Drosophila melanogaster: one gene and its partner. The protein of the gene in region 1 purifies or fractionates together with the protein of each later gene. This does not show direct contact. Each region holds a gene or a part of one and is shown on either strand. Other genes may lie near its edges.

Region 1 (5,153 bases):
GTTTATATGCTAGAGCGCACGTCGATCTGCTGGAACGAATTAAGGCAGTTGGTCAGCTGCGTCTGGTACTGGTAGCTCAGCTCGCCCTTGCATCCATAGCCGCCCAGCTTGTGGATGGCAGCAAAGTCGTAGCAATCGATGGCGTTGTCTCCATTGCAGTCCTGGCCGAACTTGGTCATGTAATTCTGGATCGTGTTGGCCGCGCAGTAGGGATCGTTCACGCAATTGGCATACGCTGCAGCGAGATTAATGTGCATCAGATGTATGATAAGGTTTATTGCATAGGTAATGGATGGGACACTCACCATCCTCCGACTGGGGACTCTCGTTGCCCAAGGTCAGCTTGCCGCCGTCGGCCCAATATGCCCAGGTGATGCGAAACAGGCCGCAGACTCCGCCGCCGCAGTAACGTGTCTGGTTGCATCCACTGATGGCCTCGCAGATGCATCCCAGGCACACATCAGTCACCGGCTTATCTGTTTCGGGTTTAAAGATCATTCAAATCAAATCAAATCAGTTCAGTTCATTTTTATTTTTATTTTATTTTCCAGATTAGCCTCAAAAGAGCGTTAGCAGTGCAGATTTGCCCAGATCATGTCATCGCTTTATTCAGAGCATTTGGTAATGTTTTGAATTTTTAAGAGTTATAACAAGTTGAAGACTTTGAAATTTTAGCAGCTCACAGAAAAAAGTAGTAGGAAACTAATTAAACAAAAAATCCAGTTGACCAATTTGGTTTAGGTGTCTTATCTTGAACTTGTTAAAAATTCTTTTAAAATTTCTTACGTTCATTATTATAAATTCCAACCGAAGAGATTTCCGTGTAAAATAACAACAGGTACTACAATAAAACTAATCCTAGTGTGTTATCTGTGTTTCCCCGGTGCGAGCGGGTTCATAAATTTCAAAAATTCAATAAAATTATAAAATATATCCAAGAAACGAAAAGCAATTCCGTTGCTTGCACGCCCATGAACCTGAAATCCATCGGCCTCACGTTCCCATCCCATTTTGTATCGAACTAGTTTTGCAACTTTCAATGGAAACATTGAAGCATCTCCGTAGAACAAAATCTGGCAGCGCGTAGGCGAGGATGAGTCAATTAATCGGCGTTATCAAGACCTTGTTCTTGTAATTAAATTTTGTATTTTTAACGAGTATCGGCATTTTGCCAATTTTGCGAAAAGATCGAAAGAAGCGTGAAGCACAGCATGTCATCTAGCCTTCTGGCTCACCCACACACACGAGCAAAACTCTGAGGTTTCTGAGTTCAGTGACCTATGCAAAGTAATCTTCAAAGGCATAAAAATTGGGTCAAGATTAAAGACCTTTTATATATTTCCACCTTTCTAAAACATATCATATCAGTGCATATTTTAGTTTATATAAACACCTTTTCACGGGGTTTTCCTGACCCAGAGATAACCCACACGCAGCAAATTGTCACGAAAGTGGGATTTTTTGAGGTCTAACAATGGAGTACCGATGTGCACCGCAAAATACTGTTCCGGATTCGGGGAAATCTCCAGTAAAACTACATCCTTTTCGCGAATAATGCAAAAATAACGACTGATTGATTTCTGCTAATTACCCATTTAGACAATTAATTTATTAAACAGAGAAGCAAAGAGTTCACTTCAAATTACTGCCAACGATTAATAGATGATTTTCAAACTTAATACCAATTAATTTCCGCCAATGTAATAGATGTATACTAATCGGAAGTAATTTCAATGGCAATGATGCGTTATTGAAAACTAACGATGTCAACGGCCCGTGTTTTAGATGATGGATGGTCGATTATGGAATCTGAAACCGATCAGAAATCCCCGAGTTTAAATGGACGTTTGTCAACCTCCAGATACTTGTCGTATGCAAATGGCGACAAACACGATGGATGGATAAATATATCTGGGAAATCCGCTCAAGAACGAAACATGTCTTGGCGCAGAACAAAAGACTCAAATATCTATACAATTGCTAATTAATGTTAATGAATGCAGACGATCAGGTATTTGTATATTTCGTGTTAAAAGCAAATCTCAGCAAATGCGTAACAAATACGTCTCGCGAACAATAACAAGAACGGAAATGTTCTCGCCTATATAATGTAAATATATAGTTTTCGATGTATTTAACTCACCCTGAGCTTGAATGAGGGCTGCGAATCCCAGACACAAAAGAGCGCCAATAGCCAAAGTGCAGCACAATTTGTTGGCAGCCATTATAAGCAGTACTTGTGTCCGAAAAATATTTGTTTGCAAATGCAATTTGAAAAGTCACTGAACAGTATCACAACTATCTGTAAACAACCGACCTCTATCGAGCTGCCCGATCAACTGAGCTGAAAGTGCTACGAGCTTCGCTTTTTTGTTGACAAAAGCTCGCCGAAAGCTTCAAAACGGAAGACTTAAGCTGAGAACTTGAGAGAGCCAGCAAGCCAACTAAAGAGATTAGAGATTTTTACCGATTATAAAAGTATACTTTTTGGTGAAAATTACAAAATTTCAATCATTATTCCAATAAAACTGATGTGTTTTTACAATCTGAATTATGATTGGCTTATTGCAGCTTTCATGTGAAATATTTTATTTAAATATGAAGACAACTATATTTGCTTAGTTCGCTTTGCTCAAGTTTATTGTTAATATAAGAATCTCAGATGTTTAGATCTTGTTGAAGGCAGCAATGTCGACAGACTGAACAAAGTCCTCGAACTCCTCGATCTTCTCCTGCAGCAAATCGATGGACACCTTGTCGTCCTCGATGACGCACATGATCTGCAACTTGTTGATGCCATAGCCGACTGGGACCAGTTTGGAGGCGCCCCACAGCAGACCGTCCATTTCGATGGTGCGGACATTGTTCTCCATCTCCTTCATGTCGGTCTCGTCATCCCAGGGCTTGACATCGAGGAGCACCGACGACTTGGCAATGAGGGCGGGTTTCTTAGACTTCTTGGCGGCGTAAGCGGCAACTCGCTCCTGCTTGATGCGCTCGGCCTCCTCGTCCTCCTCGTCGTCGGATCCGAATAGATCCACATCGTCGTCATCGTCGGCGGCGGGCTTGGCAGCAGCAGCCACTGTGGGCTTTCCACCGGCCAACTGGGGCAGAGGAGTACCCGACCAAGCGGCACGCTCAGCGGCCTCAAAGGAGGCGATGTGGCGGTACCAGCGGGCCACGTTCACATTGTCGGCAGAGGGGGCCTTGCCCAGAGCATCGAACACGGACAGATCGGCCTTGCTGGGAGTATATCTAATGGGAGTATAGTAATGGGTAGAAAATTATTCGATCAATACATCTGCCGACGTGGTGAGGTCGTACATAACCTCACATTTAATGACGCGTGCTTACCCGCTGATGTAGCTGTTGTCGGCCAGGAAGGCGTTCAACTCCTTCAGTCCCTGCGGGGTGGTCACATCACCGAATGCCATTTTAAATGCGTTTTTGTGGGGTAAATTCGCGTTTAACAAATCTGGAGCCGTGCTCTGCGCAACGTTGCCGACGAAAGAAGAACAGAGTGACCTTCGCGGGAAACGGTCTTTAAACATATAATGAAAATACTGACTTTTTCCTAGTATTTCAAGTAGTTGCAACACAGGGTGACCCGGAGTTTGAGTAAATATCGTTCAAATATACCATACATTCAAATAGATTTTTAACGCTTACTTGTATTTTTTTTAATAAAACATAAGGATTATAATTAATACCTTATACTTAAGCTAGCTATTGGCTACGTAAATTTAAGGCCAAACAATTACATTTAATATTCTGAAAAGGAAAAAAATTGTATAGAAATTGTATGCTTCTACTTTGTAACTTGTGAAAACAATATGCATTTCCTTGGGCAAATTCACACAAATTGGGAGCTTGGGCTTAATAGAAATTAAGTTTAAGTAGATCCTTTACTTTCAAATAAATTCATATAAGTCATTGAATATTTAATTTAACACAAATATACCAAAAGCGCGGACTAAAACCGTGAATATCTTATGCGCAGTGTTACCGTTGCAGTGAAAATCATGAGGGTGAAAAAACGCCTCCAATCAAGCTATAATGCTACACAATTTTTTTGCAAACGCATAATTTTCACTGAAAAGCCGAAAGAAAAATTAAAAAAAAAAACGTAGAAGCGCATGAAAAAAACGGCTCAACAATAAGGCAGAGTAGACATTCGAAAGCCACTTAAACAAATGCCATAGGAAGCGTTTATAGTATTTCCTCAGCATTTGTGAAAAAATCGTCGCTTTCGGCTATTGAATTTTCAACGCGTGCGGTCAAACAGAACAAAAAAAAAACAAGTGGTAACCATAAAGAACCGAATTGAACCTATTATAAACCCAGAACTATGAGCGACTTCCAGCAACAAGGCATCAATCAATCGCAGGCACTCGCGCAGGCAATTCAGCGTGCCAAGCAGGTGAGTTCCCACCACTTGGAAGAGGAAGAAGCGGAAGTGGGCATTGATTCGGCTTCTTTTGCCCCAATCCCCAAACCAGATCGCAGCCAAGATCCAGCCCAGCCAGCAGGGCGGCGGCACAGCGGGTCCATCGCCACCGTCTTCGGGTGGAGGGCCTGGCTTTAAGCGTATCAACGACGACGGCGACAGCGGTCCGGAATCCAAACGCTCCTTGGGCAGTCCGGAGTACGCCAACAACAGCTCCAACATGAGCAGCGGTAGCGGGGGTGGTGGTGGCGGCGGCGGAGGTCCCGGCGGTGCCAGTATTACTCAGGCAATCGCCCAGGCTGCTGCGGTAGCCGCTCGTTTGGCCGCCTCGGCGGGAACAAGCTGTGAGGAGCAGATCCGTCTGCCCGAATCGGTAGCCGGCGCCTTTATGGGTCGCTCCAGTAACGACACCATCACCCACATCCAGGCCGAGTCCGGTGTAAAAGTGCAGGTCATGCAGGATCAAGATCGCGTTATCATGTTGCGTGGTCAAAGGGATACAGTCACTAAGGGGCGCGAAATGATTCAGAACATGGCCAATCGGGCTGGCGGGGGACAGGTGGAGGTGCTGTTGACGATCAATATGCCGCCACCGGGACCTAGCGGGTATCCACCTTACCAGGAGATCATGATTCCGGGCGCCAAGGTGGGCTTGGTCATTGGCAAGGGCGGCGATACCATTAAACAGCTGCAGGAGAAGACCGGA
Region 2 (6,143 bases), 8.1 Mb from region 1:
GGCAATCGTTTGGATTTAATATTTTTGAAAAGATTTCACAATTTCACCGACACCACGTAGTTTTAGCAGCTTTCGACTTATTTGCGTCCAATATCCGAATCCATGCTAGCCCGTGGCCAGCTGTTTGGTTTTCGCAATCCTTGATGGGTGCTGCACCTCAATTCCTCGGGTGCTCGGCCTAACCAGGGCAAACGAACCACGGCTTGAACAATGGCTTACTCACTTCTCTTCCGGTGATTTTCGGTGGCCCGGGTGCAGTTGTGGTACGATCAAAGGCGCAACTCAAATTGCGAGCTGTTAGCTCGCTGGCCTCGCTTTTATACCAGGAGCTTTAGCGGCTCGTACACTGAGCGCAATGGTCAGCTCTCTGGCATCCAGAGCTTTAGCAGGCAGGGAGCAGGCGGCGGGTTTGGCCAAGTCGCGGCCCAGCGTAGACCCAAAGCAGGCAAACCGAACCGGATTTTCGATGACTGACTTAAGGTTTTTTCAGCCGAATTTCGGCAAGTGGTCCGATGCTCGGGCCAGCGGTTCAAAGGGTGGAATGGAATGGGAGTTTTATCACAGATTTATCTCTCAGACCCTGGTCGTTTGTTTACTCGTTCACGTACGAAATTCATAGGAAAAACATTGACGTACGTGAAAATTGAAATTTACATGTTGATTTTGCCAGTTGGTTTTAGTGGCTCCGAGACTCACAGCTGCTGAATCGGCTTGGATCAGCTTGGAGTTGGGTGTCCAACTCTTTCCCGACATAACGACCGCATTTGGTAGTGCTAGAGTTGTTGTCGCTGTGTTGTAATCACTTTTATGCATTTCCATTTCCCTTTTAATTATCTTTGGCGTCATGAATCGCACGCACCAGTCTAGACTGAACCAGATTTCGAAAGCTCATCGGTCGGGGCGAGAGTTATTGGGTTTTGTTTTGGCGTAGCTCGACCGATTCCAACTGGTCTGCCTTAGTAATTGGGATTTACCCCTGTCCAGGTGGACAATTCGGACAGCTTGCTGGGGGTTTTAAGGCGACCACCATTGGCGGTCGTCCGCACTTGGAACTGATCTCGCTAATGGAGCGCGGTGCAGCCCGAAATTACTAGTATGGTGGGGCAAACAATAATTGGCCATAAAGCCAAAATACACTTCATACCCTCGTATAATTATGAGCATTTTACGACTCTGACGCAGGCGATTCTACTGATTGGCTGGCTCGGTGGATCAGCTCCGCTCCGTCTCGTCTTCGAGGTCAATAAATCACCAGCGCTGACTCTTCACCTGTGACATAACTCTCGTGCCAATTAAACAAACAACTTTTAGCTTGTCCGCGGTGATTAACATTTAAATTGGGGCATCCTTAGCCCCGAGCGCTGGGGGTTCGTATTGATTTATGTAAATCGCGAGAGTCCGATCGGAAAGGAAAAAAACTCCCGGACGCTATGCGCGGCGGAGGGCTTAACGGGTCCAACAGGTCCCAAGTTGCCGAGGGGCCAAGGGTATCTTACCTTGAAGTCGGACAGGGCATCAGCACTGAAACCAGGGAAGATCATGCGACATGTGCAAAAGTTCAGGTTCAGGAAGGAGAAGGAGAAGTAAGTAAGGCAAACAAAAGTAAACAAACCACAAAATCCACAACGGCGGCTCAGAGGCTGAAGAAATACTAACAATAAAAAGTAAATGCACAGATTGTATAAAACGCAAAATAAATCTTCAGTACGTGCCCAAGTTTTCAGTGTCACGCCGCACGGCATAAGAGGCGGGGCGAATCAAACAGAGCCGCGACCTCAAATTGCCTGGTTGGCGACGAAGGCGGAGGCGGCAGAGGAGCGCTTGGACCTGGCCGTCTGACTGGCTGACAGATAAGGTGAAATGAGGCACATTCAATTTTCCACTAAATCGTATATTGCGTAACGGCGGACTACTGATAGTTCATCAGTAGCGACACCTCTACCCTAAATCTAAATCTTGCATACATATATACACGGGTCCAGTCCAGAAAGTAAATCACTATTTGACTGCCACGTCGGGGGAAGCACTAGTGGCCTGGAACTTGGTCTCTAGAGCGGTGACCGTGCCCAAATCGCCACATAACTTCCGGAAGAGGACCACATAGCCGAGGTCGCCGCAGGCCACTCGAATTGCCTTTAGGACACTCCACAAGGCCAGGACCAGAAAAAGAACCATGCAATACGGCTGTATGTGTTGGACAATGTTGACGTTGATCCACATAAGGGAGGTCACGAAACCGGGCAGCTGTCCCATTTCCTGAGTGGGACTAGAGAGTAATCATATGCACTCCTATTGCAGCGGGAAAGTACTTACGAACTCATACCAAAAACTGGGAATCATCATGTTGCTAAACCGGCTTAGGCGTGAGCTAAACCTCCTGAGATCCGGAATAGGAATGTTGGACTGGAAGCGGTATTTCTCCGTAACCGGAATACCAGTGACCGGCTCCAGCAAAATGTATGGCTCGTGATCCTCGGCGTTGGGTGTGTATCCTTCGTAGTGCTGGCTCCAGTTGTAGCTGCTTCCGTAAAAGTGTGGCATCGAAAACGCAGAGGGGGCGTCATCTTGGGGGTAAGAATGTGTTCGATTTACCTTAGGAAACCTGTCGTTTTAGGGACGTAGAGCCGTACTTATCACACACTGGGATACGTCAAACATTCCGTCGGGTAGCTTGACACCGTAGCTTGTGTCCAGGCAGCCGGGAGGCTTTTGATGTGACTGAAGCAGAGTGTAGCGGAAGGTATCAAGGCCGTTGTAACGCTCCTGACGCTGGTAGGTCAGCGGAAGGACCCGGCAGGACTCGATAGCCACTATGCTCAGCGGCGTATCCGGCTGGACAAAGGGAGGAAAGAGAGAGTTGTCCAGCGCTCCGGAAACGTTAAAGGGGCAAGAGTTGGAGTCGTACTGACGGGTGTGCGGAAGTTGTTCCCGGATGATCACCTCGCCGTTAAGCGTCTCGATGCGGAAAAAGTTTTCAATGCCGCGCTTAGGGCCGATGTTGACTGTGTAAACCTCTTCCTTCTCTTTGAGAGCCTGCGGAAAAAATCTTAGCGGGGAACCAACAAGGAAGTCTTCAGGATAGTCAAGGGGCTTACGTTGTAGAGAACAGCGACGTTGGGTCTTATGTTCGAGATCCTGGAGAGCGTTTGCAGCAGGGGACGGGTGAACTCCCACAGGAAGTAGTATACGCTGTCTGTAACAAATATATCCTCCATCATGAGCGCTGCATCAAAACCGAAGGCTGCAAGTGGCGCCGTATGCTTGACTTTCGTCGCTGCGCCCAGGATAACGTTGTTTGTGGAGGTAATGGTCCAGTTAAGGACGTCGGGTGCTACGCTTTCCTCCGGGAGGAATTCCACTACGCGGTATCTGTGCTTGCGATACCTAACGTTGGTCTCGTTGCGATCTAAGATGTCGTTGAACCCCACGATTCTGTACACAATGGGGCCGATCTCCTTTACCTTAAGTCTGCTATCACGACCGCTGCGAAACTCCTCGGCGTTGGTCACGTTGAACACATAGTTTTTCAGCTTCCCGAATGGCGAGTTTATCCAACTGTCCATGGTGGGCATCTCCTGGCGGAAGCGTATATGCTCCCTAGCTACCAAGATGCGATAGTCCACTCCCCAAGACACCACGAAGAGGAATACATTGACGCACGCAAGGATCAGGCAAAGCAATATTTTCACCCACTGAACCGACTTCATTTTTTACTAAGGGCGGCTTTGACGGAAACCAGAGACGGGAGTAAATCGCGTCCGATCGAGGGAAAACACGCGATCCGTTTGAGTTAAATTCTAAGCGCTTTCGGCAATGGCCGTGCAATCACTTATCATCGAATAGCAGAAAGGTTATCACCAAAGCAGCGGTGCTTACTCTGCCAACACTGGAAATAACGGTGATAACGGCGGACCTCTAACCCGAGCATAGAAAATGGCCATAACGCAGATTGCCCTCCAGGGAGGAGGCACTACTGCACAGACTCCAGAGATGCCCGTCTTCCCGGATGGACCTCACCGGGATAGCATCGACCTTGATCGGGAGCAGGTGTTAATGACCAACCATTGAACAGGCGACTCTGCCCTGGGGTTTTGGCAAATTCGAGCTTATCAGGCACAGACAGATCACTCTGCTCTTATCGGTCCCGCGGGCAGCGAAACGTGCAACGAAACAAATGACTCGCCATTAACGTCTGTCTGATCCTCCCTGAGCTCGGAATCTCGTATTTATAGCTAATATTGCCATTACTATGCTTCAGAATCCGGTCTGGTCCATCTACGAAGTGCGATGTGAAAATTGAAAGTGAAAGTACTATAAATTTAATATAAAGGTTAATGGGTGCCCTAATTTTAGGTCGTAAAAATTAATCTTTTAATGTGACATGTTATAAACTATCGAAATGATGTAGCAGCCAATCCATTCATGACCATTTATTTAAGAAAGGGACTTACAGGAGATCTCATACTAGCATTTTAATGGTGTTGATTTGGTTATATATATATATAAATATATATATATATATATGTTTTGCAGTTTAAATGTTGCAGTACACGTTTGAAACAACTTTATATTATTAACTTCCCTGGTTTGAAATTTCTTGGTATTGCATACTTTTGGGATTGTGCACGAAATTCATAATTTAGGCCACCTAAAATTGTAGTTTTAAACTATATTATAATTCAATGAGGTGAATTATAATATAACTTAGTTATATACCATTCTGATAACCATTTATAATACGTAGTAACGTGCTTTTTATGAATGTATCCCCGACAACCATACAGAATTATTTTTCCGTGCAATTGGAAATTAAGTTTGTCATTCATCATTCTGGATAGGAACGAATTGTAAAAGGCACATCAATCATATATATGTACACATGTATATGGATTCGAGAAGATTACGGCCAATCTCTAATTATAATATCGTGATTTATTGTACACATTAATGAATATAAATTGTACATTAGATCGATAAAGTTATGTATTTATAGAATATAAATTTCATATGCGGAACATGCCCAGCATTTGGTCTTATAAAGCACATTTGTATTCGAGGACGGAATTTTGTTTTATTTGAGAAACGTTTCGAGTTTTGTGACTTGATTGTACATACAATTTCATTTCAAGAGGGTTTAAGAAAGCAAGAACAGGATCGATTGCTGTTTTGGTATAACAAATATTGTCTAAGTCGAAGCTTTGAGCCTTTAAGCGATCACGACTGTTTCGTTAGACTACACTTCAAAATTTTTATAACGCTTACTTACACAGATAACCTACATACAATACAATAGATACAGATACACATACAAATACATACAAGTCTTCCCAGCTCCATTTCTTTTAAACTACATAGAAGCACATTCCTCCGCGGGGAATGGGATTAACATAGGGAGGTCGGATTGGGTATCGTTATAGGGATTGGGGGTGGAAGTGGAAGTGGGCAGGTCCCAGTTACTAGCTACGGCTTATACTATTACGAAGTCACCCGAAGACACTCGTACTGCGACCAGACACCGACTAGAGCGCCTAGTATCTGGCGGGTTGGTTATCCTTGTTCTGCTTCTTGTTCATGTCCACCTGGGCGGTGGCCAGATAGTTGGACCCCTCCAAGTGCAGGGTGCTTTGCCGGTGCGAGTTGCGGATCAGGCAGAAGGTCGAAAGCAGTAGTAGGATCACACCAAGCGCGCATAGACCGACGATTAGCGCCACGCGGATCTTAGGTGGCACTTGCTCCGCAAAGCGCATCAGGTCGGTGACCTCGTCGGGAAGGTTGTCGATGCCCTCCTCGAACCAAAGGATGGGAAAGATGATGTCCGGGAAGTTGGCTACCTGCTTGATGTCAAACACTTGGCTAACGGCCAAATTGATCTGGATACGGGCGCGTACTCTCAAGGTAGTTCCCATTTTCTGCGAAAAAATGTTGTAAGTATACGTCTGGGAGATAGATCTTTTTATTGGGTCTTACAGGCTGAACGTCGAAGAAAAACTGATGCTTCTCTTTCATAGGTGGCGAAATACCTTCTACTTGCGTCCTCAGGCTTTCATCGGCCAGGTAGAAATGAGGGAAGCTTAGCATGATGGGAGAGTCTGCAGAGAGCGTTACTTTTGAATTTGATCGGTAATGGTATCCCGCATTCATTC

The links. Proteins that work in one complex are often made in the same cells at the same time.
Region 2: the proteins of eEF1beta (region 1) and CG2736 purify together in Drosophila melanogaster (affinity purification with mass spectrometry, with the first as the bait; one large-scale study listed by BioGRID). This does not show direct contact.

What each region holds. Positions count from the first base shown.
Region 1 is NT_033778.4:16,866,593-16,871,745, reverse strand, and holds eEF1beta (eukaryotic translation elongation factor 1 beta), read right to left. Parts: upstream 3,525-5,153; 5' UTR 3,435-3,524; coding exon 3,355-3,434; intron 3,256-3,354; coding exon 2,667-3,255; 3' UTR 2,466-2,666; downstream 1-2,465. Other genes in the region: CG6426 (uncharacterized protein), read right to left, coding at 3-235, 306-476, 2,144-2,225; Psi (P-element somatic inhibitor), read left to right, coding at 4,349-4,420, 4,500-5,153. UniProt on the Drosophila melanogaster protein: EF-1-beta and EF-1-delta stimulate the exchange of GDP bound to EF-1-alpha to GTP.
Region 2 is NT_033778.4:24,971,552-24,977,694, forward strand, and holds CG2736 (uncharacterized protein), read right to left. Parts: upstream 3,791-6,143; 5' UTR 3,708-3,790; coding exon 3,096-3,707; intron 3,034-3,095; coding exon 2,631-3,033; intron 2,565-2,630; coding exon 2,314-2,564; intron 2,257-2,313; coding exon 1,999-2,256; 3' UTR 1,880-1,998; downstream 1-1,879. Other genes in the region: emp (epithelial membrane protein), read right to left, coding at 5,529-5,909, 5,968-6,089.